Caenorhabditis elegans: one gene and its partners. The protein of the gene in region 1 interacts with the protein of each later gene in a pairwise test. Each region holds a gene or a part of one and is shown on either strand. Other genes may lie near its edges.

Evidence for each region.
Region 2: the proteins of prk-1 (region 1) and tag-325 interact in a two-hybrid assay, tested with the Caenorhabditis elegans proteins (one large-scale study listed by BioGRID).
Region 3: the proteins of prk-1 (region 1) and T11B7.1 interact in a two-hybrid assay, tested with the Caenorhabditis elegans proteins (one large-scale study listed by BioGRID).

What each region holds. Positions count from the first base shown.
Region 1 is NC_003281.10:6,986,457-6,996,922, reverse strand, and holds the start of prk-1 (Serine/threonine-protein kinase 1), read right to left. Parts: upstream 6,756-10,466; 5' UTR 6,568-6,755; coding exon 6,500-6,567; intron 2,763-6,499; exon of another isoform or gene 2,620-2,762; intron 2,215-2,619; exon of another isoform or gene 2,003-2,214; intron 443-2,002; coding exon 372-442; intron 326-371; coding exon 168-325; intron 121-167; coding exon 29-120; intron 1-28.
Region 2 is NC_003281.10:4,792,993-4,806,260, reverse strand, and holds tag-325 (WW domain-containing protein tag-325), read right to left. Parts: upstream 9,423-13,268; 5' UTR 9,351-9,422; coding exon 9,255-9,350; intron 9,203-9,254; coding exon 9,054-9,202; intron 8,693-9,053; coding exon 8,518-8,692; intron 8,446-8,517; coding exon 8,027-8,445; intron 7,631-8,026; coding exon 7,156-7,630; intron 6,692-7,155; coding exon 6,476-6,691; intron 5,707-6,475; coding exon 5,597-5,706; intron 5,513-5,596; coding exon 5,334-5,512; intron 5,139-5,333; coding exon 5,012-5,138; intron 4,533-5,011; coding exon 4,351-4,532; intron 4,298-4,350; coding exon 4,044-4,297; intron 3,826-4,043; coding exon 3,685-3,825; 3' UTR 3,354-3,684; downstream 1-3,353. Other genes in the region: Homeobox protein pal-1, read left to right, coding at 1,008-1,050; rRNA N(6)-adenosine-methyltransferase metl-5, read right to left, coding at 1,575-1,688, 1,739-1,866, 1,917-2,023, 2,280-2,475, 3,155-3,254; mip-1 (HTH OST-type domain-containing protein), read right to left, coding at 10,981-11,187, 11,387-11,637, 11,688-11,792, 11,840-12,176, 12,227-12,553, 12,607-12,811, 12,867-12,986, 13,037-13,155.
Region 3 is NC_003282.8:8,835,868-8,845,883, forward strand, and holds T11B7.1 (Centrosomal protein of 162 kDa), read left to right. Parts: upstream 1-4,849; 5' UTR 4,850-4,857; coding exon 4,858-4,924; intron 4,925-5,206; coding exon 5,207-5,414; intron 5,415-5,463; coding exon 5,464-5,886; intron 5,887-6,004; coding exon 6,005-6,325; intron 6,326-6,386; coding exon 6,387-6,705; 3' UTR 6,706-6,938; downstream 6,939-10,016. Other genes in the region: T28C6.7 (Kinesin motor domain-containing protein), read left to right, coding at 654-826, 886-957, 1,002-1,433, 1,479-1,562, 1,663-2,109, 2,215-2,505, 2,600-2,962, 3,048-3,565 and 2 more; T28C6.11 (uncharacterized protein), read right to left, coding at 3,796-4,016, 4,271-4,394; T11B7.2 (Ribosomal_L30_N domain-containing protein), read right to left, coding at 7,754-7,967, 8,554-8,624.

The DNA of each region.
Region 1 (10,466 bases):
GATTTAAATTCAAGAAATTTGAACTTACTTTGCAAACCAATCGAGGATTTTTATCACACCTGGAATGTCTTCGCACGTCTCCAAATGACATACTTCTGAAGGAATTAGTTGCCGGCATGTCTGAAAATAATTAGTTGAAAAATAATTTATTCAAACAAAACACTAACCATTGTCCAGCTTCTGACATGTTTATGTTGCACAAATTTAACGGCAACTGGCTGTTGTCCATCCTGTCGAGTTGTTGCTTCATACACTATTCCGAATCCACCACGTCCAATTTCATCTAATACTTCGTATTTCCGTTTGAACTCTTTTACCGAATGTTCTGAAAATTTCAAAATTATTAAATTAATTTTTTTTTAATTTCTCACTTTTCTCGTGTAGGAAATCCACTTGGTACGAGCAGCATACGGCTAAATCTTGTAATTTTCGTTTGATCATTCTGTAAAATTTTATATTTCAGAGTTGTTATTTTAAGATTGCGATAAAAAACATTTTTGAAGAGGAAATGGTACTTTTTGTCACATGTTGAGATTGTAATCTAATTAAAAATGGCCATAAACATTCAATGAAACAGGTTTTGAATAGTATTTTCTAGAATATTGGATGAAATAAATAATTTCACGAAGTACTGTAACTTTGAAGATCCTAGTGATGAATACTACTTTGCAAGATGAATTACCAGGAGTTTTAATAATAGATTTGAAATTCACACTTTCAAGTAAACTGGACCACGTTATACTCTCCTTTCTTCAAACTTTAAAATTTTGAAATATTACGAAAATCCGGGAGAGTGCAAAGAATTAGACGGGAAATACATTTATTACGTGGTCGCACAGCTGCTACTCGGTTACCTCCCGCGGGCGCTAAGCACCTTTCTCTTTGTTGTGAAATTCGAACCCTCAACTCGAGCGAATTTCATGAGCCCTTCAGGTGAAAAGATCTTTTAAAAGAGTAAAAGAAACGGATAGCCGGTGTGGATGCGCGGGACTAATTTGTTAAATAACAACTGAACTGCTATTAGTCGGACCGCTAGCGTAGATCAAAAAGTCAAGAGTGTGGAATCGGAGTTTTTATTTTATTTTTCCACGTGGTGTCAGGCTGTCTCATTACAGTTTGATCTACAAAAAATGCGGAAAAATATTTCCAGAAAAATTGTAGGGTCAACACGCTCTTAACCATCCAAAATCAGGTGAGATGTCTGCGTCTCAACTCCCGCATTTTTTGAAGATCGACCCGAAATAAAACATTCTGGCTCCACGTGGTTTTTGCAGCAGAAGTTTAATGAACAGTATCTAACGTACATGAATAAATATTTCTCCGATTATGTTAATCTGAACGTTAAATAATAATAATCAACAAGAAAGCTCACGGAATCAGCAAAAATGAAGGAAAATTGGTACTTGTGTGTTAAATATATCCCTGCCAAAAAAGTATTAAATAAAATAGTATTAAAAGTTTATTCATTTCTCCATTTAAACTGAACGAGATACCCATTTTCCTCGTTAGGCTCAGAAATGGTGTGTGCACGTTCAGGTTCAACTGAGAATTTTAAATTTTAAAAAATCGGAAATTATTTCAAATAAGTTGTTGAAGAGATATTTAAGAAGAATGCCAATGGCTGGACTGACTTTCCTTGGTGTTCAACTTAAAAACAAGGTTCAAACCTGCTCAGCTCAAATTTCTAGGATTCAGAATTTAGTGGAGTTTTTCTTCCTGATTTTCAGAAAATCTGACAATTTGTTGACAGGTGTCTTATACATTACAAATTCTTCTAGGATCCAAAGATCTTTGGATCTAGACAATTTTCAGAAGTCACGCTCTTATTTATAAAGATTAGGAAAACAAAAAGCCCATGAAAAGCAGAAAAGTAAAAGGTTGAAAGTTGAAATTGTGGTTGATGGGAGCAAAGGTGAAAAATAGAAGAAAATTGAGAGAACAGGAGAAGAGACCGATGTGATGGTGGTGGAGCACCAGAACCACAACAACAAGAAAAAACGACAAAAAGTGAAGAAGAATGAAGGGGATGTAGAGAGAAAAAGGGAATATAACGACATCTGGAGACTCGGAACGAAAACCAGATTCGTTTTTTCCTCACATTTCGCCGTTTGAGCTGGTTTCCGTGGTACATTAGATGAGTGATTGGGTTTGTGATTTTAAATTCATTGACTCGAGAAGACCCGAACTCAATTGGTTTAAGCTGTGCGCGGGGGTAGATCAAAAAGGGATCAAAATCGGTGACTTCTCGAATATATGTACGTTCTAGATTCTTTGAATTTCCAAGAACATGTTAAAAACTTAAATTTCGATTGACACAAATTTGTGAACCGCGGTGAGCACTTTGAAATTTGAAGCGAGGGTCTCTCCGCAGAGTGACTCTTTTCAGCATTATTTTGTATGTGAACCTTTAAGTTTTCATATGAAAATATTTTTTAAAAAAGCATTATAGAACGAAACAAGAATTTTCCACAAATGTTCTTTTAAACCTGATACCATAATTGGGAATTTTTATGCAAACCTCTAGGGATAATAAAAATACAGTACGGTCATATAAAGTCACATAAATTGCTTTCAAATTAGTTATGTTGCACGTTGGAACATTTTTTATGAAAAAGTAAGTTTTTTGATTGCAGAAGATACACATCAAAATAAAAGGGAATATTGTCTCTTTTCTGATGGAATCTTCTCGACGTGGTACTAATTCAATTTTGTTTCAAATAGGAATCACAGGGACCTATGACATCAAGCTCTGCTCCTTTTTTCTTTTTTTTTTCTATTTGGGCTCTCCTGGATTCCATCATAAAGGAATGCTTTTCACAACTTCCTTATTGTTTTTTTGCTTTGCCTTTTTCTTTTTTGCGTTTGAACACAATTTCACTTTTTATCCTGCACGTTGAGATGTCGGTGAGAAAGAAAAAAGTTTCGGAGCACATGAAGAAAAGAATATTTATGCGAAAAGGTGCGATTGAGATTTTTTTGTTGAGAAAATGTCGTTTCAGGGTTATGGAATGGGGTTCAGTGAGGGGAAGAAGGAAGATCACACCTACAACAATCAGGTTTTCAGCAGAATATTATGAGGAGATATTTGAACAAAAATATTTGCTCTGAACAGTTGAGCAACTTCAGAGAGAATGGATAAAGTTCAATGTGTCAAACTATTAACATCAACAAGTTTTTATATTCTTATCAATGTACTATAGTTTCTGATCCCTGATATACCATTCGATTCTTCTCGATTTTAACTGTAGATCATGATCGTCAAGAGTGCTCACTTATTTGCTCAACGTATCCCGTGTGCCACGTCACTGATCTGATCTCTCTCTCTCTCATACACGGGCGGCTCAAACACGTGGTCTACTTAATCTTGTCCTCTCGGCAGCCAGGTAAATCGCGCAAACAGTGAACGATTCCCAGGATACAAAAAATGACTTGTAATTCATGAGTTGATGTTTCGATGTATTTCCATCTATGATCAGACATCTCTTGTCAATCGGAAAACGATAATATCATTTGTCAACGAAAACCACACAAACGGGAGACCTTTAATCTTTTGGAATGGAACAAGAATAGATTTATTGTGATAAATTAAGAGAAACTTGGAATGAAAAAGGAAACTAGAGAAACGAGAAGGTGTGCGATTTACGAAGATATTTTGGACGCACTGAACTGATCTAAAAACGCATGCAATCGGGTTGTTAATGATTCGTCATTTTAAAATAGGTAATTTTGCAGTTTAGATAGGACAAAGTTCAAAGTTGATATAACTTTTTGAATGTTCGGTACCTGAAGCTTATAAGGAATTCGTAAAGTTCACATTCTAGGTCGTTCTGTTCAGACAGTTTACGGAATAGCTATTGATTTTACTTAATTTGTTTAATATTTTAGTTTTTCTTAACAGTCATTAGTTTCAATTTTTAAATGCTGGCATTACCAAACTTCCTTCTGATTTCTCGTTTTTCTGTCTACAGAAGTTCCTTGTTGTTCTATTTCTAGTGGCTAATAAACACTTGACCAGTGTTACAGAATTATTCGATTAGTTGTTCCATCGATGTTCGATCCTTTATCCCACATACCGATTGTCATCGTTTAAAAAAACGAAACGAACATTCCCTGCGTCTCTCGATCTCTTATCACTAGTTCTTGATTTCTTATTGACCAACAAAGATCACGGAGTGTACAATTTGCGTCATTCGAATATTTGAACACTTTTTCAAAGAAAATAAATTACTAATCACTAAGTGGATTTCGAAATAAATCGGTTCTGACTTGATTTATGAAACTGTTTTCTTAGTAATTGTCTATGTGTACTTTGAACAGCGGGAGTACTTTCTCAAGTGGATTGTAGTATGTTAGCTCAGGGAGAACACGTAAGCGGTTTTCAGGTCAGAATCAATCAGTTTATCAGATATAAATTGGAAATAGATTATGATTTGAAAACGAGGAAATATTGAACTAGATAGAAAACAATACCAATACAAGGTCAGCCGAAAGTCCGTGTGCAAATTTGTGAATTTTAGGAGTTGAGCCAAAGTTTTTGATAAAAAATAAAAAACAGCGACACGAGATAAAAAGTACTATGTAGTAAATTGAATTCTGAATCAAAAATTTAGAATTAAAAAGTTTAAATGAATACTAGAAATAGGCTTGGTTCATTGCTCAAAAGTGCCCTGTTCCTAGCAACAAAAAATCGCAATTTGGAAAAATAGGAAAAAAACGATGAACTGCAATTTTTAAATATCCGGTAAGACTAGTTATAGTTACATTTCAATTTTTTTAAAGTCTGAAATGTTTTGAATATTCATAAAAAATTATTGGGACTTCAACTTCTTTGTTTTCAAATCTTAATTATGTTTTAAGAAAGTTTTAAAAACCTAATTTCCCGCCAAGAAAATAGGCAAGGCAGGCACTTTGTCATGCTTACAGAAACGTAACCCGTAGTTCGAAGACTTTAGAATATTCTAGATACGTCATAATGTTTTATCTCCTTCCTTTTCTCCAAAAATTCTTCATTTATTCTTCTCTTTTTTTCTTCAAATTCTATGGTCGTCATGTCTAATGGGTAAACATGTGCAGTTTATAGCCACTTTTCATTTCCCCTTTTTTCTATTTTTAAACCATTTTATATATTTTTTTCTGTCCCCAGCAAAACTTTACTTTGTTTATTAACTTGAAGAGTTTTAAATTTGGGTTTTTGTTTTCACTGTTGGCGACAACTGATGAGGGAAAGACTTTTTTGGTTTCCTTATCACATATTATCAGTCAGTTCTGACTGATTTGTAGCAGGGTTACTTGCTTACGCACTCACATGTGATGCTGCAATTTCAGCACTGATTGTTCGAGAGAACGAGTCAGCAAATTGGAAGAAATGAAGACAGAAATAGAAAAAAAAGAGTCTAGGAAGATGTTTAATTGTGTGGAAATATTGGCTTGATTTGGTGAAATTTGAGTTTGTAAAGCATTGAGACATGTTCAAAAAGAACATTTAGAATTGTAGATTTCATTAGTTTTCAAAACAGAAAACATGCATTTTTGTTGAAAAATTTAAAAGGACTCATGGTAAATAAACATAATTTCTCGAAGTTCAGACAAGAGCACCGATTTTTTTGTGTATTTCGATCTTTTGTACTCGCCGAACCAATCTATTTTCACCTTTTTTCTCTCGATATTTGACCTTAAGACAATACTATGGAAACATTGCAAACTTATCAAGCGATCTCTCCCAACTCCCCATATGACACGTCAAAACCGAAATTCGATACTTTTTCGCCTCCTTGACGCCTGTGCTGTTCCTAATGTTTGTGTGTTTGTGAGTGCTTTGAAAAGATAGAAAGAAAAAGAGCCTGTCAAATCATCTTGCAAAGAAGGTTTTTGACAGATTAGTCCTAGTAAGAGCACATGAGAAATGAAAATGAGCCTAATTTTTTAAGTTGAAATAAGAGTATGGGATGAGAGGAGTGATCTTATTCGGGAATTATACTGAAATTAGTAGTTGCAAAAGTTTACAGATGAGAAGCAGTAAAAGTTAAAGAATTAAAGATTAAATGAATATTAAAAGTTCAGATGGAATTGGATATTGGAAACATCTTGGAAGAAACTTTGAAAATAAATATGAAAAAAGATGTTAAGGCTCAATTAAAAAAACGAAATTTTAGACATTTAATAGTACAACGGTACTAGATAACTTTAAATTGTTTTTTTTAACCTGTATTCTCAATTTAAACTAAATTAATTTAAATTAATTTGAAAATTATGTTTGAATATACATCATTCCAAGGTTTTTTTAATTTGTAGATTATTATCTACTTTCCAAAAGCAGCACTATAGATCGTTGTACGCGTAAATAGGGCTTTTAGAACAGAAATATATTTTTCCAAAAATATAAAAAATGCTAGAAAGTCAATAAATTAATAGGAAATTTTAGTTTTAAGATCACAAAAATCTTACCTACTTCAACTCAACACAAACAAAAAATACAAATGAAAAATGAGAAAAGACCAACCTGACGGACTCGTAAAGCCACAATCTTTGCCTTCTAACAGCTCCAGCGTCTCCTGGTGCTCGTGTCATATTGGAATAGTTTTAATTAAAATTAAGCAACAGTAGCCAGGATTTAATGAAATAAGAAAATGGAAAACACTTTTGTGTACCTCTGATGGCAATTGTTTTCTAGCACAATTCAGGAATTGTGGTGGTATTCCAGAAATAAAAAGTTTCAGAGATTTAAGAGTTTTTAGTGTGTTCCTTATTGAAAAATGGCATTGCTGACGGTGGGCGCGGCGGCGGCAAAAGTAGGCGGTGCCCCAGGAGAGTGTGTGGATCTGCGTCTCTTATTCTCATATGCTCTTTCATAAGTCTATGACCACACAGTTCGAAACATGGACGGCGGGAGAGAAAAAAGAAAACCGAAAAGTGTCTCTGAAATAAAAAAAGACAAAGATTGTATCTGGGATAAGCACTGGTTAGATACGATTCAACCATGAGAGAGGGGGAAACTGTTTTTTTTTTCGTATAATTGCCTAGTGCAATTTGTGATTTGGTGTATAATACAGATTTCTTCACCCAGTTAGTAAGAGTTAGCATAACTTTACAAAAAGTCTCAAACTATGGTCCTATAGGAGATTGTATGAACATTGCAGAACTTAGACAGTATAGCATTTTTATTGGTGAAAATAGCGGCAAGAACTCTTAGTGTTGTGTTCTATAATCTTTCTAGGCAAAATCGAATAAATATAAGTGCCTTGAAACACGAATTTCAGACATTCATGAATTTAATATTGCTTCCAAATGTCATATTAGCCGGTAACTGATTTTATTGCTCTAAAAAATTGAACGATTAAAATATGACATTTTTATGAAATATTTTGATTAGACGATTACTCAAAAAACAAACATCAAATGTGTTGTTGGTTGGAATTTAGAATCTTATTGATTTTCCATAATAATCAATTAGTGTAGTCTATGTCTTGAGTGTTTTTTGCTTTCAAATTTTGATATTTCTTGTCCTCAATGTTTAATTCATCAACTGATAAAACATATATAATTTTCCACTCCATTCTCAATTTTATCAACAACATCACCAAATGAAGCTTCAAATATAGGTACACAATGTATTTGCGTAAGCAGAGTAAAATAATGGAAAATATGGAAATTTCATGGAAATTTTTGGAAGAAAAAGAGGAGGAGGAAGAAACAAAAAACATTTGAGTGAGGGTGACAGATTTGCATCGATTATTTTTTTATTGAAATATTTATGTATCAAGTTGTGATAAGTGATGACTGGTCTCTGTGCGTGTGTTGGAAAATGTAAACTTCTGGAAATTGTAGTAGCATCTCATAGGATTACTTTCACCGAAAATCCCAAAAACCTTGATACTGAAATAGAAGTTATTTGATCAATTGACTCGGGTTTTCCAACTCTAGATCAAAACACCTTATACATACCAAGATCATTAGTTTTTCAAAGAAAGAACTTTGAATAAAAAGTCCAAACTATTCTGACAGTAGGAAAACTGTCACAGACAGTATTCCAAACGTGGCCTTTACTATTTTTCTACAAATGAACAGAAAAGTGAAAACTTCGTAAGTTCTGGAGAATCCAAATAATAAGAAAAATGAAAAAAAAACCCAAGTTGCATAATTTTGAAAATTTAGTTGAAAACTTTTAAAATTTTTTTGAAACATCCAAATATTGATAATGTTCACAATATGGCCCAGAAACTTTTGAATTATATTCAAAATTCCATTTTATTTGTTTAGTTCTGTACTGTTTTCAAAACAAATACATAATCCCATGGATCATCCAATGAATTTTTTTCAGTTTTTGAACACAATGTGTTTTTTGTGTTACCTGCTGCTCAATGCCCAGGGTAACCTTTCAAAATCAAAAGGATCTCTGACACAGTAGAATGATCGCACTTTTGTTTTTTGAAAGTTACTTGACCCAAACAAATTGAATCTATTTCCTCCTCCTTTCCTCTTAACCCATCAAAAAATTGTGATTTTTGCAAGAACAAAGGTCGAATCATCTCTTCTTGATTACCCATTGGGTTTAACGACGAAACACACACTGGGACAGTTGTCTCTGGGCTTTTCACGAGTTAAAATAGTGTTAAATTGAAAGAGGTTAGTGAGGGATATTTCGACAAAAAACAATTTGTCACAGCTCGTTTTGTTTTCAGTCTGACTTTTGTTTTAACATTGAAAGAGAGGGAGAGAGTGAGCTCAGAAAAACACGTACTTTGAGTTTGAAAGAGAGAGACTCGTTTGTGATTGATGGAGGAACTTTGTGATTAGAAAAACCAGAGAGAAGAATGTTGAAAAGTGTTTTGGTGGGTCAGTAGTGGTTCGCAAAAGTTTGTGACGCTACAAGAGTCAGGTGGTAGGGATGCCGAAATTTGGTTTCTCCACAAGATTATTAATTTTTCGAAGTGTTCAAATTTTAATACTTATTATTTTTATCATCACAATATATCTAGCAGCTGATTGTTGACCGACAGGAATTTTAATAATGGAACTTGGGGGGGGGGGGGGGGTTTCCTCCAAATTATCACTCTGGATCCATGGATACTAGATTATTGGGATTATAATAGACAGTACTTAATATTATTATTCCATGAAAACTATTAAAGCATTTCAGTGGTAATTCACCATACCGAAATCGAATACAAAACTTCGAATTTTTCCGGATACAAATCTCTAGCAGTCAGCTTTAAAAGTCATAAAAATTTCGGTGTTTATAGATGGCTTAATTCTTTTAGGACCCAACTCTTTGAAATTAGACGACGAATTCTGAGTAGGCACATCACCAGATATTTTCAAAAGTTCTTTCACAAGAAAATCGGACAAACGCATCAAATCTAGAAAAAAACTAAGTTACAGCGTTTTCCTTGAAAACTGCCACTAAAACCAAAACGATTGTTAAAAGAAATATGGAGAAAAGGCGTGAGAATGGTGTCTCTTCTTGCAACTTCTACATATCTTCAATGCTTTCATCCGTCCTTTTTCTCCAGGGACCAATCGAATTTGGACGGCCACGGCCGATTTATGTATCGAGCTGCGTGTTTTTGTTGTTTGCAGAGAAAAACTGCAAATTCTCGGTATGTTTCCGCTACTTTTTTGTTCCAGTTTGCAGCTCATTTTCATGGAGCTTCAGTTTTTGTGTTTTTTCTGAATAACGTTCAAATTGTCAATCCTAAAATTTGCTGATATAAGACGAAAAATTTTAAAAAATTGCGAATCATACAAAGGTCTTTCAAGTTGATAGCTACATTCCTGAAACAAGCGGGACGCTCTCAATTCATAATTTGGTTTGCATACATTTCGGTGCAAAATTTGAATCAAAACAATGAATTTCAGTGCACATTTGAATAATACCGAGACATCATCATGAATTGTTCATAGAACAATACATAGGAAGAACAAAGATTACCAAGACTGGACATTGTTGAGAAAGTTGTTTTTTACGATTCAATGGCTAGACAACAGAATCATTTAAAATTTCCTCATTAAATTAATATCTGTCAGCAAAAGGAGCAAGGCAAGGCTCGATGGTATAACTTCCTAAACTCGCTAAATTGCATATCTTCAAACTGGCGTATCTTAAAAAATACAGGTCTAGAAAACAAATGTTTAACTAACAAAATGATTAGAAATATGTTTGATTTCTTTTGCATAACTTTTCATTGCAAAATAACAATTATTTGTTAAGATACAAAGAGTCAAAGGCATTTTACCAAAAGCTACTAAAAATTTTGAAAACTTTTCTGTTGTACATGTCTGAACCCAACATACATTGAATTTCAGAAAAAACATTTTGTAGAATATTAACTGAAAAATATTGTTCTACATTTTTTCAGTTTTAAGTTTTTTTATATTTTTATGTCAGCCAAGTTACATACTGTTTTTCAAAAAAATCCATTTTCACTCATAAAACTCTTCATATCCTACGCAAAAATTTGAAATTTGCG
Region 2 (13,268 bases), 2.2 Mb from region 1:
TGTTTGCTTACTCTTTCTCAGGCTTTTCCAGGGGACTCATCACAATGACTGTCACCTCCTACTGTAACCATAGGAAAAAGTACCACCACACTTTCGTTCTTTAAGATTCAGTTCAGTCCACGCGCGCAGTAGAGATAGTTCCAAGGAATTAAAGAGTCGTAAAGTTGTGTAATTGGAGGCCACAGTGTTTGAGACGTGCTGGTGGAGGTGAGGAAGAGATGAAGTTTGTTAATTGGTCCGTTTACGACTTTCTAATTGGTATTACTGTAGAAGAGAGGTGGTCACTGCTTGCATGTGTGGCTATCTACGCGTTCGGGGATTTGGAAATTAACAAGGGAATAGGATATCTAGTGCGAATTTCCAAGTTATTGGGATAAAACACTTCCCGTAAAGTGCTACTGTTAATCTCCTTCACTCGCATGTTAAAGGGAGAGTATCGTTTGTAGGTTTGCAAAAAAATATACTCAAAATGCCCCAAATTTCAAGTTTTTGCCTTTATTTAATTAGGTGAGGTTCTAGCTCAATGAAAGAGTCTACAGAAATGATAAAGCAAGGGTTTCTGACCAGCTCGCAGAGATATACCAATTATCTGCTCAACAGTCGTTTTTTTTGTTGTCTGTTGCCTTGTTTGACAATATTAGTGCGCATCGAAAGATTTACGAGGGGAATAGAAACGTCGTCGGCAGAGATTCCCAGAGTGCTGTAAAATGGAAATCAATGTGTGTGTCCCTTTCCTGTAGCGTCCCAATCCAAACAGACATACATACTGTGTTGGACAGACGTGACCGCCGTTTTCCTGGGAAGAGGTAACATACGGACGAACCATACCGGTCATTGTATTCATTAAAAGAAAGGGAATATAAACCAAAAGATTGATGTTCCCTATCCCTTTTCTTTGAAAAGCGTATTTTTTTTGAATTCACCACTGGGACGGCATCTTTTTGATCTCAATATATTCTGATAAATTGTTAATTTCCGTAATAATACTGTAATATTTTTAATTGCAGGCGTGCAAAGGATCGTCGTGACAAACAGAAGATTCGGCTATAAGTACTCATCTACTTACAAAGAAAATGTACAAAAATTCTGGGAATTTTCATATTTTTCTAGAATATTGTACACATTTATTATATTTTTACATTTCTCTCGCTTGAATACGGTTAAATTCACACTTTTATATAATTTCTTCCTGTCCCATCTCCCATTCTCTCACATCAGAATATTCTAATCATCACTGCCCTTAACATATATATATATATATTTATAACTTTCCGATCATTCCTTCTGCTTTGTAAACTAATCCAATCATTCTCTAATGAATTATTCCCTAATATAGAGCTTCTTTATTTATTGTGATTTCTTGTTTCTTACCCTTCTCAAGGTTTAGGAAAAAGTTTAGGTCCCCATTTGTTATGTATTTACTTCCCACTCTGAACGGATCCATTTTGAACATGTTTTCTATTTTTTGGAAAAGTTTAGAGAATTCTTTGCTTTTCTCACATATCTTGATTGCATATTTTTTATAACAAAACAATGAAACAATTTTGAAGAATTTACAGCAGAAATTGATGAGATTAACTATCCAGTTTTTTGAAATGTATTAAATCGACGGCAATATCCACGGCCTTTTGTTTATGGAATTTGTAAGTCGCTGGTAGTTGCCACCGCATTTCTGCACAACATTCTGCCTGAAACTCAATATTTTTTTTTCTAATTTTAGAATAATTTAAAAACAAACCCCAACTCCGTCCCATTTCTTTGCATTTTTTAGAATATAATCTCTAGTTGATGATTTATGAAGTGAAAATACACTTCCACCAGGCCGAACCATTTGAAGACCGATTTGGACAAATTGCATATCGATTCCTGAGAAATTTAAGATATTGTAACGTTTTAGGAGATCGTTGGATATTTACCTGCATTATTTTTTGTTCCAAATGGAGGATTAATGACAGCCACGTCGAATGTGCCACGTGGAAGATCGGATTCCGGGTCGAGAATGTCGGCTTGTAGAAGCTCGCATCTGGAAGAATTGAAAGTTTTTAATTTTTTATTATTACCCAAATACGATTTTTAGCCGAAAATACGGTACCCGGTCTCGAAGCGCCCGATTTTCTTAAATTCAGAAAGATGTGCGCTTTTAAAGAGTACTGTAGTTTCTAACTCCACATTTTGAGCCGCTTCGAGACCGGGTATTTTTGTAGGTTAAATTTCAAATTGAAAAATGTTAGTTGAATTTAGAATGTAAACATATATTTTACTTTTTTTTTAGTTCTCACCTATCCTGTACTTCAGCTGTTTCCAAATTTCTAGAACAAATTTTAAGTGCTTCATCATCTATATCAACTCCTAAAACAGTCTCCAACTCATACATTGTGGCAGCTGTCGTCATTAACATTCCACATCCACATCCGATATCAATTAATTTCTTTCCTTCAAAACCAATTGTTTCATCGATCATTTCCATCATCGAGACTGTAATTATTTTGATTTTCTTATTTTGATTTTAGTTGGTAAAAGCTTATTTCAAAAATGTTTTTTACAGTGTATACTGTAAGAAGCTCCAAAAAATAAAATTTTGAAGCGCGGCTTCGATAGTTTTTTTATAATATTTTTTCTAAATTTGAAAGCTGAAAACATAAGAAAGCGCCATGATATAGGCGGAACAAATTTTTTGATTTTCTTTTCTTTAAACAATAATTATGTTCGGCTTGAACAAGATTTTCTATATTTAAAGAAGAATGTTTGATTTTTTATTTTAAATTACAGAAAATGGATAATAGTAACAAACCGAATATAACTGTGAAAAATTACTTAATTTTTCAATTTGTGATTTTGCAAAAAAAGATTTGAAAGTTTTTTTCGATTGAAGAAGTCATATTATGAAGGATTTTTGAAAACAGATTGCATTTTTTCGAAAAATGGTATTATTCTCTGAAAAAAATAAACCAAAAATTGTTTAAAACAATTTTTAAACTTTAAAAGTTTTATTATTGAGACTGTTTTCTCTGATTTAGGCTTTCAAGTTTTTTCTTTTAAATTCTTTTTTGGAAAATTTCAATTTTTGGTAAATTTCGGTATTTTTTCAATTTTCTCAGAGCACATTTGAGGAAATTATTCCACAATTAATATGCAGTTTTTAGGAAAAAATTACCGGCAAGCTCTGATGACGTGGCATACTGCTCCAATTTGATTTTTGGTTTTTCGAATCCTTCGAGCTCATTGAGCATCCAAAGTGTCTTTTTATCCGGCATCTTTCAAAATTTTAGTGTTTCGTATTTTCCTTTTCTTCAATTCCAAAAAAATATGCCAAAAAGAGCTAAACTTTGAGTTTTTATCGTCCGCGCTCGTTTACAATTATCACAATTTATTCATCTTGTTTGAGCGTAGGAAGATTGAAAATACAACATAAAAAAAGAATAAAGCGTAAAAGGAGAAGACTGTAATAAGTAAACGGATGAAAAAAAAAGACTAGCATACTGAAAATGTGTTGAGGAAAATGAATATTACAGTACATATTTACAACATTAATTGATCAAATCCCGAAAGTCAAGGAAAAAAAAGTAGAAAGAAAATAAGAGAAAACGATAAAAGTAATACCCATTTTTCGGCGATAAAACACCCAAAGTGAAACGGTGAGAAATAAGGTCACAACTCTTTTGGAAAATTTGAAAAATCTATAGATTATCGTCCAATATTGACTGGAGCTTTGAGAATATCAAATTTGTTGGCCGATTCGAGAAGATATTGAACAATTTGGGATTGCATAATCATTGAGAAGGCGAGATGAGAATTCGATTGGACAGGAGTTGCTTGAGTTTCTTCCTGGAAATTATAAGTATTTTAAACAAGGAATATCAGTTGGTTTTTGAGTTTTGACTCAATTTTCAATAACTTAAATTACAAATAATTTGGTGAATATAGAAAATGAACGGTAATGACCAATTATAACTGTAAAAAATTTCAAAATTTGTTTAATGATATGTTATATCAATTTTTTAAAGATTTTTCACTCCATTCTCAATAAATGAAGTTTTACAAACCTTTTTCGAAGGTTTCGCCTTCTTTCCAGCTTTCTTATTTTTGGTTGCCAAATTCACGGCTCCATCACCATTATGGAATAGTGTTGGACCAAAAACAATAGCAAGATTATGTTGTTGCATTCGATTTTGTGATGAATGCGAGGCTACACGATTCAAATGACGAAGTAACATTTTCAATGTTTCACGATTCTCGTTTGGAAGTCGACTTAGAAGTTCTTCGAATTTTTTGAAACGAGTGGTCGCGTTGGGCATTTCTGGAATAGAAAATTGGTTTAGGACATTTTAAAACTTCAAAAAAAAAACTTACGCATAGCTGATGTGTATTCCTTATGAAGAGAAATTGGGAAAAGTGGATCGGTTAGCTCTCGGAAAAAGAGTTTAAGAGCACCAGTAAGAACATGAATATCTTCTTCAGACACAAGAGCTTTATAATTGTCTTGATCAGCTTGACATCGAATTTTTTGGACTGCGGACAGGTTTCCACTCACTCTGAAATAAGAAATTTCAAGTTTCAATGCTATTTTTATTTGGTAGTCATCCTTTAAAAAACTGAAAATACAGTTAGAGAATACTCTCGTAACAGTTCAAATTTTTTAAAGATATTCCAAAACTATAATTTTTAAAGTGTGCCTTTAAAAAATACAGTAATTTTGATGTTGATTTTTCATAATTTTTTTGAATACAAATAAATAAATTTTAATCGAAAAACCGCAGCAACTGTGAGTTGGAAATTACAGTACTTTTTAAAGGCACACAATCATTTAAATTTTAAAAAATCGTGTCGAGACCGGGAAAAGTTTTTTCAACGCAAACAGTTCGCATCTGGGTAATGTTTTTCGGAAAAAATTATTAGGTCTACCCCTTTTGATAGTAAATAAATTTTTAGATGTGTTTTGTTATGGCATTTGGTCATTTTTTCACAAAATGGCGACACTTCATGTAATTTTTTTCCAATTTCATAAACTAACCGATAAATTCCATCTGTCTCCAATCCTTTACTCTCAATAACTTCAGTGATAACTCTAATAAACTTCGGTACCAACGAGTTTTCATGTTGACAGATTGCAGAAAGAGTTGATCCGAATACTGGTTCAGCTGAAATGATTCTTATTTCAATATCAATTTACTATATATAAAGCGCGTGTCGTTCCGTCACTATGTAGTTTGATTTTTGACAGAGCAACGGAAATTTGGGAAACCTTATGATAATTGTATTTTCTCAAAAAAAAAAGTCGGGGGCCGCGCCGTAGGTGCGGTCCACGGCTGGTTTGCATATATTTCCAATCTTACGTTTATATATTCCCTTCTCTTTAAGACTTTCCACTGTAGGGCGTGTTCGGAAGAATCTTCTCAACTTCTCAATGATCGTCTCTTTTGATGGTCTTGGTTCATCAGTTGATACACTTGTCGATACCGTTTCAATTGCAGATTGTGACATTGGATCATCACGTCGTCGCATACTTCGGCTTCTTAAAAAACAAAACATTTTCAATAAGACATGGTTCTCTCAGAATTTTGAATTCAATTTTTTTTTTTTTGAAAAAAAAACTCACATTGGAATTAATGCATGGGAAAGTGGACGCGTGCTGCCAATGTATGACGGATTACGAGCAACGCCATTTGTTACATCAATCATCGGTTGGTTTGAAGAGCCAGGAGACGGCTGAAACGATATACATAGTCTTGAAATCTATAATCGGATGCAAAAAACAGTATACGGTCTCGACGCGATCGAATAGGTTTAAATGAAAAAAGTTGTGCGCCTTTAAGAAGTACAATAGTCCATTTTTCTCGTTTTTCTCAAAAAACCTTTTATTGTGTGAAATTGTATGCACAATTAAAAAAAAAAAGATAAGTCGAAGAAAATTGAAAAACAGCAAGATTTATTTAATTTTCCTAGATAGATTTTTTATAATTTCAATATTTTTTGATTAGTGTCACAAAAAAAAAAGGAAAAAAAGGTTTTAGACGAAAAGGCAGGAAAATGGTAAAATAGCGGGACTACTGTAATTATCAAAGGCGCACACACTGTTTCATTTCAGCATTTTCGGTCGTGTTGAGACCGGGTTAGATATTTTTCAAGCGAAAATCCAGCTTAATAGGATTTTCAGAATTTTCTCCCATGAATCACCTCACTATTTGACCGTTGCAGGCTCAACATTCGGACTCTGGAGCAAGCAGTATGCCACATGGTACTTTTTTGAGAATACACAACAAGTAAAAACTTTGCAATAATAGACGGAGAAAAACTTCGGCCGTGAATTCTTATTTCTACAGTCTTGAGAAAGTTGGAAACAACTTGGCAAAGTAGCTTATAGCCGAATAATCTCTTAATTGTACCTGCCAAGGGCGGGAGAAAAAGAAAAATGAAACAAAAACACTTGATTTTTTTTGTCTATTTTCTGGATAATTTTCAAATAAAGAAATCTTACAAGCTTTGCGACAACTTCTTCCAGTGACTTGTACCATTCGACGGCTTCCGTGTCATTGGGACCTCGTAACAGGTATTTCTTCGTGTTACACAGCTCTAATTGAATATATTTCCGTTGTTTCTTCTTTTGTACATCCCGATTGTCTTGATACCATGTCACACTTGCTCCTCGTAAATCCCATACTCCTTGTGGAGCATCATAATGTTTTCCGTGTTTCTGAAAGTTGACAACTATTTGGTATTGGTTGATCTACTGACAAGGAAAGGAAATAAATATATACAAAATATGGCACTTCAATTTGAAACATTATGTTTAGGCTGAGCTGATATATATGTATATAAATATTTAAGCTGCAAAAACTCCACTCGAACCATCTGAACTTTATCAACAAACTTTTCAACTACTTTTATGATCAGTCGAGTTGTTCCAAAAGTGGATTTTTGCAAACTTCGGATCATTTTTAAGCTGTTTAGAGATAAGCAAACATTTCGGAAGCTTTTTGAAATTTTTAGTTTCTGAAGAAGAGTGCAATTTTTTGACCGAGGTGGATGAAACATTTTCAGATCATTTTCAGAAAAACTTCCAAAAAGCAGACAATAATACATCATCTCTGCACATTTTGTTAAAATTTCTTAAATCTTTTTTTCTGCGTTAATTATCAACAACATAAAAAAAACTACCTCTGCACTTTTTTGGTCTTTATACAAAATGAGATGAGCCGTTGTTAAATACATGTAGTTCGTGATCCATTCACGTTTTTTTGGCTTTACAACTTTCTCTGCTGGTTCATCATTTTCACTTCTTTCCAAATCACCGCATCGAATCGTTCGAACAGGTTCACGTCCATCACCACTACCTCGACGTTCTTCACATCGTGATGATGGTGTAAAATCGGCAGAATCTTCCATAAGGATCGGCCGATCCGGCGTATTAGAGTGATATTGCGGATGGTGATCGAAACTTGATGAGGTTGTCGGCAGCACTTGTGGCATTGGAACATTTTTTAGAACTGTACATTTGTTCTGAAATGAGACCGATCTTAGGTTCGTCGGAGATGGACGACGGACACGGATTGCGGTGGGAGTTTTTGATGTTTCATTGGCATCTGGGGGAATCACATACGAAGCCAATTTGTCAGTGTCTTCATTTTTGGCCCTAAAAATGTAACTTTAGTGATAGGATATAACATTATTGAATTTAGGGGTAGCGTCGATGGGAATTTCACTCAAAAATACTCAGGTTGATCTCAAATGCCGATAACTTTTTTTGCATCTGTAGTTCTCAATACTGCCGCAAGTTCTTCATTTTCCTTGAATTTTCAAGTGAAAAGGAAGGTTTTATGCCTATAATGGCAGTTACGTTTCGCCTAAAATATTATTTTTGTCTGAACCAGTCGAGAAAATCGAAGTGAAAAACGGAAAAATTAGCGGAGTTTCGAGGCGCGGTAATTCAAATGAGGCACAACTGAAAATTCACTAAAGTTAGCCATGTTTCAAACTTAATGATTTTTTTTTCGTTTTGCTCCACTATTACAAATTTTGTAAAACCAACCTTGGAAACGTTGATTGAAACGAAGAAACATGTGCATAGGGATGTGGCATCATTACTCCGGATGCTGTAGAAGCTTTTCTTGATGATGTTGGAACAGGTTCTTCGTCAAAATCGGAATCTGAAGCTATGGATCCTTCTATAGGTTTCACATCATCTTCATCTTCATCATCCGTAAAACTGTCAGAGAATGGAATTGGAAGAGGCCGTGATTGAAGATCAATTACAGGTGATGATTGTTCATCCACGTCATCGCAAACTTCATCAAACACTTCTTCATCTTCTATCAATTGACTTTTTCTGTCGTCATCAGCTAAAGATTCACGCATTTTGTTCTCTTTTTGTTCTTCTGATGAAGATGTCGAGGATCCTTGAAAACTGCATGTAGTATCTAGATTCGTTCTTGTTGCACGAAGAAATTCCTGAAAATTGAAAACTGAATGAAATTATAACATCTTACCAGATTTTAATTTTTTAAAAGTAAAAAATAATACCTGAACTTGTGCGGGTGTTCTGATAAACCTCGGTGGAATCCATTGACTTTTTCCAGTTTCTTTATTGAAGAAAAATGTCCGTCCGACGTCGGTCTCGTATTCAAACCAACCATTTAGAAGATCTCTACGGGGCTGCGCGTCGGCTCGCGGAGTCGGTGGAACCGGTCGGCTGAAGCTTTTAAAAATGTTTTATGATGATTTTAGAATCAAAAATGAAAATTAAATAATCATCAGTGATTAAAAAAATGCTCCAGGTGTTGTTCCAACATTTTTTCATAAATATTAGTGAGAAAATATGGAAAAATAATAGATATAATTGAAAATAAGAATTCAATTTGACGAAAGAATTTGAAAAAGTGCTTAAACATAGTCTGAAATTGTCATTTACCAATTATCGAACTTAATTTTTCAGAGATTGGCAAGTTTCAAACCATTTTTGACCTCTTTTTCAAATGCTTCACCCACGATTTGCACACTAATTCCAATTTTTCAAAACATTATAACTAAACCTGAATCATTTCAGATATTTCCCGTACCTGTTTAATTCTTCGATTTCTCTGATATTTGTATACACATGTGATGGATCGTCAGCGTAATTCTGTCCATTACTTTCACGTGGCAATGTGTTCGCGGCGCTAACATTCGTTTGACTAGATGACGAAGAGGATTCGGCCGATTCGGACATCTGTAATGAATAAAATTATTTTTCTCGCGTTCGATGAGAGAGAAAAACTAACAATTTCTTGGAACTGAATAAGATCCGAAGCTCTTGATCCAGCGGGTCCTCCGCCGAATCCAGTTGTATCTGACGGCTGAACAGCGGTGGTCATCATCCGACGAACAAAATCGATAATAAATCACTTTTAACACCACCGGAGAGGCATTGAAGAGAATGATAACGAACTGCAAAAAGGACGAATTGCTAAAATATTCGGAGAGGGAGAGCATGGTAAGGAGAGGAAAAGAAGAGAAAGATCATGTGACCATTGACTTTGTTTTTACAGTGTTTATAGAACAAAACCGAAATATTTAATAAAGCAGATTGATCCGGAAATGGGAAAACAAAAATTATAATTAGGTTGTTAAGATAATTAAATAATGTTCGAAAAGAGAAGAAGACAACAATTAAGTATTCTAAATATCTAAGAAACTTGATACATTTCTTTCCACTTGAATCGATTCTCTCGAATTTCCGTGACTTTCTGAACATTTCGTAACTTTATACCCATAAGAATATCTTACGAAATATTTTTAAAATGAAACATATTTTAATCAACCAACGGAATTGATAAGCAAAATTTCCGATTTTTTGTTTCATTTCAGCTGTCCAATTTCAAAATTAGCTGAAATTATTTATAAATCAGTTTTAATTTAAAATTTTGTACAATTCCAACAGAAAAGCACCAAAAAAACCATCACAAGGAGGCACACACGGGATGACTCATCCGGCCGTCGTATTTCCCTTGTCCCGACTGGAGAAAAGAGAACACAGAATGGAAGAGTAAGATACGCAGACAGTGATACAGAAAAAACTCGCCGTGTGTTCTCTCACTCATTCGGGAGGTTAGAGACAGTGTCTTGGGGCTAAATATTGGAGATACAGACACACGAACAGACGACAATCGATTTAAAGAAATACAGTCATTGTACAAACCTGATAGTGCCGTGACTAGAGGTATTTACTGGTTTAGCTAGTGAAAAGGCTCTTTTTAGACTTCAAAAATTTGTTTTAATAAATAGTTTCATTATTTCAACATATTTTACTAAATAATGTGCCAAATTGAAAAACTATTCACTAGACAGCATAGAAATATAATATTCTCTTAAAAATCAATATTGGAGAACATTTTTGGATAAGAATTCTTTTACCCTTAAGGGTCAATCTTATATAGCGCGTCGTTATCCAGAGCACTTTTTGTCTCTATGTTTTACACCGTTCGTTGATGTTATCTCATCTTCAAAACGAATTTCCTGCAGTTTCTTAGTCTCTATAGTGCCACGTTTTGCGTGCGCGTAGAATAATAAATTCATGTTTTATGGGTCTGTCTGTGTGCACAAGCCGACCGCCCCAGTTTTCCCCCATATTCGAACATCGTTTGATGCCAATCTTGACATGGCAGAGAAATAGGAAACTGAATGCATTGGGGAAGAGAAAAAGAGAAACTGCATTTCGCTTTCAATTATTTGAGTGGCCCGTCGGAAGAGCTCTCACAGCTACTCTACAATTTTGCATCTAAAGGGGTCACGCTATTTAAGCTAACAAATATTTTTTCATGTTTCAGAACACATTTTTCTTAATTATGCGAAACAAGAATAGAATGCACCGGAAAAAAAATTTATAGTAAAATTCGTGAATGACTCGCATCCAAAATATAAAAAAAACAATGTTACTATTAAAACTAATTAAAAAATAATTTTACAAAAACACATAAACAGGATATTTTAAAGCACGTAAAATTTCGATCACCAACTATCCTTATCCGACGGCAACGCAGCATTGATAGCTTCTAGACACTCATTATCAATTGAAGATGTAGTCGATTGTTGTGGTGAAAAGTTACGAGAACGTGCCAATCCTGGTCCTTTTGACATTGGTGGGAGAACTACACTTCTAGTCGTGGATGGCACTTTTGTAGAAGTTTTGGCACTCTTTCCAACAATAGAAGCCGCCTGAAATTCATTTAGCTTATTCATCACAGTCGGCATGGTATTTTCTAGCATAGTTAAAAATATTGTTTTTGTTTTAATGAACATAAAAATTGCAGTATTTTAGCAATAAAACAACAAAAAGCTAGTCTTGATCCGAAAACGGAACGATACCGCACTTGGTATATTATAATTAATGGAATCTAGCAAGAAAATTACTCACAATAACTTTTTGGTTTTTAATTTCCGTGAGAGCAAGAGATATATGTCTCCCTGGAATCGACGATCCTTTTTCTATCTGTCTTCCAAAGCTCATTTTTGGCAGTTTCTGATCTGTTGCAGAGGTAGAGGCAGTAGATAATTGCAATGTTGAAGGATTCGAACTACTGGTAGAAGTATCTTCAAGTGATTTGATACACGTAGTTTTCATCACAGGAACAACAAGATCCTTACTCGCTTTCGAAGATGCCAGATCTGATGAATAAAAATTATTAGTTTTTTTTAATGGAAACTTCTGGATTTACCATTTCGAGGCTTATTACTTCCCCGAGCTGTGTTTTTAATCGGGTTAGACACACCAGGAAGATCTTTTGGAGTTCCCATTACGCTACGGGCACTCACTGTGAGTCCTAAAATAAAATATTACAATCTACTAATTATTTTCAAATGTAAATACCTTTCATACTTTCTGCGACAGACACTATCGGACGAACAACTGGTATTTGATACCGAAATCCTTGTGAAATCGGTAAGCTCGATGATGCGACACTTGAAGTGGGCTCATGCAGTGTCGTTGGTTTCTTCTTTTCAGGAGCAGGTGGCATTGATTTCTTTAACGCAGCTCCAAAATTTGTGAACCAGGGTTCCTTCACTTCAACTCGACCGTCTGTTCCGAGTTGCAGCCATTCTTTGAATGAAGTCTTCACGAACATCATCCAGCTCTTGCTAAACAACTGGAGTGGATCAATTGATACATCGAAATGCTTATCGTAGATTTCGGTCAATTCAGAGAGCTGTAATATGAAAAATCAGTTGCAATTTGCAAATGTTGAAAAAAATTTACATGGACATCAGCAGGATATTCCAGAAGCATCATGCGCTTAACGTTGTTCGAAAAATCAACGATCGAAGGCATACACTTCGAGTCAATCCCGGGTTGCAAAACTGGAACAGCCACTGTAGACGACAGTCTTTGAACAACGGTTACAGGTTGACGTAAAAGAGGACGCTGAGCAGTCGCACTAGGAGCAATTTTGACCGGACCAACAGTGGTGCTTCTCGTTGTATGATGTGAATAAGCTGATCTATTTGCGAAACTAGAGTGACCAGTTGCAGTGGAAGGGCGGACAGGTGGGTGTCGAACGGTATTGCGATACCCAGTTGCTTGTGGCTGCAATATTATTATGTTAATCTTGAACATAGTTTTTTTTTTTCAATTTGAACCTTTGCCGGGTTCGCTCTGGCAGATGAAGCTGGATACATAAATGAGGGTTTCGGTGAGCGCAAGTGAGCTGCATATCCGAATCCACTTTTATTATGGAATCCCATAGACGTAGCTGCACGAATGGGCTTTGCACCTTTTCCACCTTTCTTTTTTTTCTTCTGCTTTGAGATCAGATTGATTAGGTCTTGATTGTCCTCATTTGCGCTGAAAACGAATGTATTGAGTTTTGACTCGAATAAGAGCAATATATATTTCTCACACAACACTGAAAACTCCGGATAAATTTTGTCGTACATCTTTGTGCTCTCGCAGAAGTTGAGCCATATCTCTCACACCAGCCTGTACATATTTTCCAACATATGTGTAGCCAAGCGTGTCGCTAAATAGTTAATACATTAAATTTGAGAAATAATGCCGCGAAACACAAACTCCATTCTCCTTTCTACTTGATTTGGGGTCGCTCCTTCCTGGAATGATAGCAGAACACTGTACACGTCGCGCTCGATGCGCGCGCGTATTTTCTTCTTGGGATCGTCAGCTTCCGTCATTTGCCAAGTGAATGTCACTTCTGAGAGAACATTTTACAATTTGATCAAGTATTAACGTGAAAAAGATACAAAAATGTTACAGTAAATTGTAAAAAAGACTCAGACCCAGTCTG
Region 3 (10,016 bases), on another chromosome or scaffold:
TTTTTTCTTACTGTAATAGAACTAGAAATCGTCTTATCTTTTCCTCCTTGGTTATTTTCATTGTGACTTTCCACTAATAATTGTCATTTGCTACTGATAGTTTGCTCATTTTCTGTCTGTCAACCGTTGTGCAGTTCTGAAGTTTGAGTGATTTATGATTTGCATTTTAAGGGTTTAGTGAGTACCGATAACTGATATTCGGGTCTAATTTTAAACGGATGATAGGATATATCCTCCTTCCTTTCCTTCTTCACTGCGTGAAATTTATTCGAATATCCAGTTTTTCCATATTTTAATTTTGAATTGGAATCTGAATTGGAAAGTAGAGTGGGAGTGGAGAAAATAAACGGTAATCCTTCATTTCCCTTTACTTCCAACAAGTTTGGTCAAGTTATCGGTGTTCACAAATCTTGAGTTTGTATTTCTAACTAGTAATGCTTTAGATATTGAAGTCAAATTTTCGTAGTTAAATTTTCTAGAATTTTTTAACTTATCAATTCATTTTTGAGATATTACGCTAATATTATAAATAAGCCTCGATCTCGTAGTTTGTTTCTCACTCGTCTTCCCATCATTGTCTCATTTTTAGTAATTTTCCCCCTTTATTTTATCATCTTCCTGTGTCCTGTGGCAATAGGTGGCTGGCTTTGCAGCGGCCGCTGTGTGTCGCCTATCGACGGAACTCGCCATTTTAGCCGCCAAACTGACAACAAGGCAAGCGGACGTCGACTCGTTGTTCCGAACAAATGCTGAATTGGCACACACCAATGTACGACTGCAAAACGAGGTGGATGAGCAGGATGAGTGGAAAGCAAAGATTGAAGAGGTTAGACCCTTTTTTTATAGTTTATCGATTTATGACTTTTATATCATGCTAAATTCCAGGAAAAGGAACAACTCGAGCAGCACGTGAAGGAACTTGAAGACCAGGTCGCTGAGCTCATGGAACAGCATGAGGTATGAGAAATATTTTGAACAACTTCGGAATAATTATTTTTTAGACTCATTTTCGACAAGCTCAACTTCTTCAATCAGCTACGTCATCGGCTAACACAGAAAACATCAGCAAAGTTCATGATTCTGAAAAAGAAGTTCAACGGTTATCAGCTATCGAAAAAATTCTAAACAATCGAATTTTGGCACTGGAAGACCAGAACTTGGAATTGGAAGAGAAATACCAAGAGATGGAAGATGAAATGCTTTCCCTGAAGCAAGATAGTACCAAAAAATCGGAAATAGTTGCTGGAACCTCAAATTGGGAGGACTCTTGGGATGAAAAAGGTGATGAAAATGCAAAAGAGTTGGTTGAAGCTCGAAATGAAGTTGAACGACTTTTGGATGTTGAGAAAGCGTTGACATTGAGAATGGAAATGCTTCAAATTCAAAATGTACAGTTGGAAAGTCGTGTTAGGGAGCAAGAAGATGTTAATAAAGTAACGAAAGAAACGAAGGATTATGACAATTATGTTTTTTTTTAGAGCGTTACATCCCATGTTAGACAACCGGAATCTTCAGACCAAGTTGAAGAAGACGATTGGGGATGGGGAGAAGAAAAGGAACCGGTGAGTTGTTTTTAAAAAAATTTAAAGATACTAAAGAGATACAATTTCCAATCAGTTTTTACCAAATTCCATGATAGTATGTTGAAAAAATGTCTTTTAGACTACAACAATTCAAAAACGAGATGACGATTGGGGATGGGATGAAACTCAGGAAGAGCCGAAGGAACTCTCAGAAAAGACTGAACTTGATAAAGAGTTACAAGAAGCGAAATCAGAAATTGGACGACTTGTTGAAATCGAAAAAGTATTGAACAATCGGATTTTGTCGCTCGAAGATCAAAATTTGGAACTTGAAGAACGTCTCCAAGAAATGGAAGAAGAACTTTTAGATGAGAAGAATAAAAAGAAAGAAGTCGATGCTAAAGTTGAACAAAAGTCAGAGGAAAACTGGGGAGACTGGGGTGAAGATGATGCCGAAGCTGCTACAGAGTCGAATGTTGTAGTTTCAACACTACAAAGTACAGTTGCAGAACTTCAAGATCGTCTTAAGTTCCAAAAAGAAGTTATTGAGAAAGCGGAAGCAGAACTCATTGAAACTCAGGAAAAGGTTAGGATCAAATGTTTTAATTAAACTCACAGCATACAAAACAGTCAATTTTAGAATAAATCTTTAAAATTTCTCGAATTTCCAATGATATTAAAATACTTTCAGTACGATGAACTCGAACAAGTCTACGAGCAGTCACAACAAGCTCAAAACTCTAACAAGGAATTGATTCATGTAGTCGAGAATTTGAAATCTCAAATGGGCCAGATTCAACAAGACCGAGACAAATTGATGACTGACTTGGTTACAGTGCAAGCTGAGAAACTCGAGTTAGAGAAAATAATTCAAAAGTTGGAAGTTGACATTGCTGAGAAGGAACAAGAAAAGACAGATAATGATGGATGGAACGATGAGGATTGGAGAGAGGATGATCAGAAAGAGACAGAAAGTGAAAAGGTAATTAAATTTCAGAAATGGCAAATGACATTAGATAATGTTTTAATTTAACTTGTATACAAAAATTAGAAATTACGTAATTTCTAATTTTCAGTTGACCCAACTTCGTAATGAACTCACAGCTCGAATTGAACAGCTTGAATCTCAAAAATCGAATGAACAAGCCCAAATGTCGGAAAAATTGAGCCAAGTAGAATCTATGAAAGTTCAAATTGAGCAGAAACTTTATGAAACTCGAGAAGAGCTTGATGACCTGAAAAAAGAGTTGAAGCTTAAGGAAATCGAGCTTCAGAAGGCTTCTGAAGCTTCAACAACTGCATCATCTGAATGGAACGACGATGGTTGGAACGATGATGATGGAGAAATTGATCGCATGAAAGATACGCAGAAAGTTTTAGAAATGAAAGTGGAAGCGTTGCAAGATGAGCTACAGAGACTGAAAGATAATGAGATTGAGGTGAGCGAAAAACGTGTGAACGGGTACTGTAGAAAAATTTCATGAATCATAATATCTATATTACTGTAACTTGTTGTGTTTTCAGTTAACCGAAACAATTTCTGCTCTCCAATCAAAGTTGTATGACGTTCAATCAGAACTGGAAGATACCAAACAGAAGCTAGTCGAGGCTGAAAATTCGGCTTCAGGATGGAATGATGATGATGCGTGGAACAAAAATGAAAATGAAATTGAAGAAGTAAAGAAGGCATTGGAAATCGAGATTTCAAATAGGAATGATACTATTGTGAAACTTCAAAATCTTGTCTCTAATCTACGGCAACAGCTTATCGAGGCATCCGAATCGGCTGATCTGAAGTCTCTGGAAGAGTTGGAACAGTTAAAAGAAGAACTTCGCATTGTTTCGGAGCAGAATGGATTGCTTAAGGATTCGGAAGCTCGATTATTGGATCACGCTGACGAGTTCGCCGTTCAAATGGACAAGTATCGTGAGAAATGCGAAGTTCTGACAGCAAAAATTGCAGAACTGGAAGCACAACTTCAGAATCCTGCTGAAGAAGATCAACAGCAGAAGACATCAAACGTCGAGCTAGTCAAGCTGAGGTGAGTTAAATCTTTTTAACGTTTAAATGAATTGGTGTATAGAACGAAATTTTATTTTAAACTAAAGTATTTGATAGCATGTTCCGGACATGTGAAAATCGAAAAAATAAAGTAACACACAATCAGAAAATTAAATATAGATTTATATTAATATTATTTCAGACAACAACTTGCAAATGCTCAACAGGATATGCGAGTTCAAAATCTGACGATTTCTGATCGTGAAGGTCTTATCGCGGAGTATCGTCATCAAATTGCCGAGCAGACCAAGACAATTGAAGAACTTCACTTGAAACTAAAAACCTTCTCAGCGGCGGCTCGTCGAACTTCTCCACGAGTGCCAATGTCATCGAATGTACCAGCTCTCTCATCCCGCCCATCATCCAGAATGTCAACGTCGTCACGAATCTCAACCGCGTCTTCGTTTGTGCCAGAATCCGTGGCAGTACCACTACAATCAACTGGATCAGCGTTTGATGTCGTCGTACGACAGGTATAAATTTAGCTTTTCATATGATTTCCAGATGCCCAAAACCTAATTGATCACGTTTTCAAACTTAAATTCTTCTGAAAATGTTATCTATGTTACCTTCAAACATTTTTTATGGCGACATCTAAAATAGTGGTATTTCGAAAAAAAATCTCATTGTACATTCGGCCGATATCGGATGCGATACACAAAACCAAGTAATCAATATTACTTACAGAGTGGCGAGCCTCTTCGACGTCGTAACAAATAGATGAGATGACCCCTGTACGTTGCCCGTGGAGAGTGTGGTTCACTGTTTCTTCCAACACTACAAATCTCCAACATACCATTCATTTGCATTCGGTGTTTTCTCCCTCCCTCTTCTCGTTTTTAATCTTTTTTACTTTTATTCTAGGTCTGTCAGTTCTGTAGGATCCCTAATTAAGTAACTTTTCCTCAAGTATTTTTTAATGTATATTCGTAGATCTGCTAAACCTAAATTGAATCGATAATTTTTGGAAACCTTCTTTTCGAGTCGATAATATACATGAGCGTTCTGTTTTATAGTTTTCATCCAGATGACTTGCCCATACGTCATCGTCAAGAGATGACTGATTAATTTATTATTTTTTACATCCAAAGTGCCTTGATATCGGTAGCTAATCGAGTTTTTTGAAGGGTTTTCATTTGTTTTCTTGTTTATAATGCACGAATTGTATGGAAATGATTGTAGTTATGATATTATAAGATATGAATACGGTTTCATTTAACTTCTTTTTTTTAAATCTGTTTTAGTGCAAGGATTTTGGATTTTCAGAGAGTAATGTCAGGAATCAAACCAAGTGTTTCAAAAGGAGAAAGTCAAGCACCGCAAACAAGACAATTGGAAGGTAAACATTTTTGAAATCACAGTGTTTCATAACAGGAATGATATTATTTCTGACGTTTTTTTTTGTATAATTAATCGAAGCTGTCACATCGCCTCGCGCACGCGTGTATGATAGGTTCCATTCGCAATTTGTTCCTGGAAAATTACGGAGAATGAAAGAAAAAGTGTGACGTCATGCGGGTTTTTCTACTTGCGTTTTATGTATCCCGTCTGAAAATCTGAAACATCGATAGTCACGCAGTCCTCTGAATACTTTTCCTCGTGAATGTATATTAAATTTCAGCGTCTAAGCCTACAGTTCAAGGAATAATTGATATTCTTCATGATACCATAAGCTATGTCCAAGTTGAGAAACAAAGTAAAACTATTAATTTTTCCATTCCTCATTTGCAAATGATTAAAGAACAGCTTGAAAGTATTCAATTAAAAGATAAAAACTACAAGGATTTGGAAAAAAAGTTCAATGAAAAACAGGATGAACATTTGGAAACGTAAGTATACTGTTTTTTCGTAATTTTTGTAAGATTAAACTTGTTTCAGAATCCAGAAGTTAGATTCAACACTCAGCCGTCAGAAGCTTAAGTATGATGATATGAGACAGGCACTTTCTGTAAAAATCTATACACTCGAGAATGAATGTTCCAATTTGCAAGACAACTATGCTGACTTGCAAAATGATTTTGAAGTTCAAATTGAAAAATTCAAAAAACTTCAAAACTTGAAAAGTATTCAAAATCACGAGAATTCAAAAAATGTGAATCCTCTAACATTGGATGAGCTCACCGAACAGTTGAAACAATTCAAAGAAGAACTAAGTATTGATCAGAAACTGAAAAATATTCAGTTAACTTGTGAAGGACTACAGTCAGCTGTTGGAAATTTTGAAATGAATTCGAAAAAAGCTAAGGAAATTGAAATTCTTAAAATGGATATAAAGAAGACACAAGAGCTCTATGAATCAAGGTAACTATGTTTATCTGTATAGTCGACCGAAAACATAACATGCACTGCCATCGAGATATAGTAATCTGTTTGGCAGTGTAAGAACAAACATTTTATGTTTCGTAATTACTTTTTCCAGACTGCTCAGGGCTGCTCAAGAAAACAAGAAACTGCTCAGAAAAAACGATACATTGAAAAACTATCTTGATAATCAAACAGCGAAAATTGGAGAGCTCACAGCTGGAAACAAAACAGAGAATCGTTCACCAACTCCAACATTGCAGGGACTTATTGAAATTCTTCAAAAGTTTTCAGACGATCAAAAACTTGAACCAGAATGTAAGATGCTGCAGTTGCATAAAGAGGAGTGTCGTTTGATTTTGGAAAGTCTTGAAGTGCACGATAAGAAAGATCAAGAGATTCAGTGGTTCCAAAGACAAATTAACGATCAGAAAAAAAGGTAAGTTTTGACGAAACATTTATATTTTGTTGATCTTAAAAACACATAAAAATTATTACAGAATCGCTAATCTTGGTTGGTCATACGAAAATGCTCTTGAAGATAAGGATGCTCTAGAATTAAAGCTTGAACATCAATACGAGCAGATGATGGAATTGAAAAAGAATTTCATTCCGAAAAACGAAATTTCTGAGGATTTGGCGAAGACTGTCAGAAATTTTGGAAAACGTCTCAGAAATTCTCGAGGAAATTTGAAGAATGCGTTCAAAGAATTAGAAGCTTTAAAAGAAGTTCAAGAGGAAGAAGGCTCATCAGATGAAAGTTCTGAAAGCAGCGCTTCTGATGATTTACCAGATGGTGACAGCTCGTCAGAGGAATAGCATCGAATCAGAAAATTGAGATTTCATTGAAATTAAATGTACCTTCTTACAATGACTAATATTTTAAAAAATTTTAACTATTCACAAATCAACGATTTTCTTGTTATTCGCTCTACGATATATCATGATTTCCCATTTATCCGACTTTCTCTTTGTTTTCAAATTTTCTTGATTATTCTGATTAACTTTACACTGTTCCAACTGTTCTTGTTTCTGAAATAAAATCTTCCAATAAGTCCTTCCAAGAACCAAAGACAAACTTATGTATAAAAAATGTCACAATTATAACAGCTGCGGACGAGCCCGAACAGGTTGAAAGTCTTTCTCAACCTGTGGACAAATGACGGTCCAACAGCCGGTAATGGACCTAAGACGGCCTTCAGTTTGCCCGCTATAAAACCGTACGTATTAGCCAGCGGTGGGCCACTTTTCACTGTTGCCGCTTCAAATTTGTCATGGCTTGGAATGGATAGAAGATTGTTGAGACGATGGGTATATCAGATTTCTTATTCTGTTCGTAAAGTCTGGATCATTTTGAGATTATTCTGCGTCTAATGATACAATTATCTTATTTATGTTCCTCGAGGGTGTCATTTTTCCATGCTATCGATTTTTTAGACAATCATAAATGTTGTTAGGTTGACCGAAGGCGCTGGAAGATGATGAACATGCCCTAAATTTTTGACTTTTGACAAGCCAAAGTTTACATTTCTGTTCATTAGATCTTTGAAAGCAATTTGATTTTTGTAACATCGGATAGCTTGATTGTGAGTCACATAGGATCTCTCCGGTCTATTGACTTTGTGACATTTACATTAAAAATATTTTAAAATAGGAAGGATGCTAATATGGATTTGTAGTGTAAAACAATGGTTTATGTAAAATAATTATTATATTTGAAGTACATATGTAGATAAAAACATTGATTTAAAAAATAAAAGATAAAATAACTGTATTTTATATTATAAAAAAGTTGCTCTGTTGTAAAAGTTAAGATGTAATATTATGGGAACAGCAATCAACAAGTATGGTTTTTTATAGCTTTTTATTAAACAGTTGAATCATTTTTGGTGGTTTTCTCGGTTGTTTCCTTGGCCGCCTTTTTGACCATTTCTTTGCTTTCTTTAGCCTGCTTTGCGAGAAATCTTGCCATTTTCATATCCCTCTTCCTTCCCACCAACTTTTCCTGTGCACGCATGTCAAGCGATTTTTGAGTGTACTGTGGGTAGCACACTCTTCGTGCAAGACGAAGGGGTGGTGGGCTGAAAAGTTAAATAATCTTTTTAATCTGATAAAATCCAAAATCCTAATATTTGCGAGAGATTTTTGTCATTTTGAAGGATTTGGGGATTAAATACTGATTTTTAGGCATCGCGCACTACCTGGTAATTCTAGCGCAAGCAGACCCACATCAACTCCAAAAACTGCCGATTATACTTTCTGGAATCGTGTTAAATTTTGCGATAGTTAAAAAAAATAACATGACAATAAACAAAACTTTGTCATTTGAAATTTCTTCTTGGATCATGCTTATTAAAATTGTTTGTAAAATTATCCAAACTCTTAAGAGGGTTATGCTTGTTATTGTAATTATATGAATATCGGTACGTGTACTACGTCTCACACAAAATGCAGAAAATGGCCAGAAGGTAGACAAGAGGGTGCTGGTTCACAAAAAATACTGAAGATTTGCTCTCATTTGTAATCAATTTGAAAATAAACACGGTAAAATTTTATCAGAATAAATAGCAAAGCTGAAAGAGCAAATAAATATTTGGTATATTTATTAAACCTAAAAGGTAGCCACTATCACTAGCTGGAAAAAAATTAGTTCTGAGAATAACTTACTATGGTGCACGCTTTGATTCAGCGTCTCCGCATTTTTCCGAAACCATTCCAGTCGATGATCCTGGAGACATGCCTAGTAGATTCCAAAAAAAAGTAGATTTGAAGTGAACATGAAAGTATTAAAAGTATAAGCTGGCAAGATTTGCAGACAAGATATAAGACGAGCATGCGAAGAGAAAGAGATGAAAAAGAAAAAGAAAGAGGAAAAATTAGCTGAAATCATAGAGCCGTGGTGCAATGCACATAAGTTTCTTGAGTTGGGATAAAATATTTTATGTGTGTTCAGAAAATCAAAAATTAAGATGATGAAAATGAAAATCAGCGTATCGTTTCGAAATAACTAAAACATGAGATTTTGACACTCCTGGTAAGAATGATTTCATAATCGAAATATAAAAAAAAACAAGACAGCAAAACGTTTAAATATTGATAGATTCATACGTCACAAGAAGATGAAATTACGAATAGCAAGTACAACAATTATTTTGAAATATCGGAAAATCTGGTCTCATGATGATAGTAGTGAATCATAAAATATCAAAGCGTTATAAGAAAGCTCAGTATGAAATGTGTAATTGGGCCATGGGGGATTCATTTTTAAAAGTCTAATTACAGTTTGAGACAGAAATAATCTGTAACTTAAATTTGAATACACATGATTACCACATGGTTTTCTAAATGTAATATTATAATTGAAACATCAATCATTCAGAACTTGTAAAATCCCATGATCCCCCAGAGTTGGTGTTCAAACATTTGGAGCGGTGCGATGATGAGTAGAATGAATTTTATTGAAGAGCAGTTGCGCATGTGTAATAACGGAGGAAGCGTTGCTTAAGGGTCATTGGAGAGAGAAAAGAAGGGAAAAGTAGTGGTTACTGTACCTAATGACGTCATAAGTATTCCACTTTTTGGTGCATCGTGACCCAGTTCAAGCACGAATGGCTATTGCAAAATATTTTAATTTCACCATTCTAGATTTATCTCAGTTTGATATTAAAACGAACTAAACAAGTTTTCAATTTTCAAAAGTTATATGTGGTTTCAAACAATTTTTGTTATTTTCTTTGTGAGTTTACAAGTGGAAAATCATTTAATTTTTAAAGATGATTCCACAAAACAGAAGGACATTTGGTACTAAGTTTTTTATAAGTAGAGAAAAATTATTGGTGTTTTATGGAGAAATGAAAAAAGAAAGAGAATATAATAATAATAATTCAAAACCAAGAGGAATCCGAAATAATGGTCGAACATAAAAAAGAAAACGCTCTCCTTAAAGCCCTCTCAACATAATAATTCTTCTATTAATAAAAGTTCATCGTTACTGTATCAAAATGTGTATACAACTGACGGTCAACATTTATTAGAAGAAGGGATGAGCAATAAACGTAATCGACACCCAAAATGTGTCAGGATGAGTTGATGATACAGTTGTGAAACCAGATACCCATTGACCTTTGATT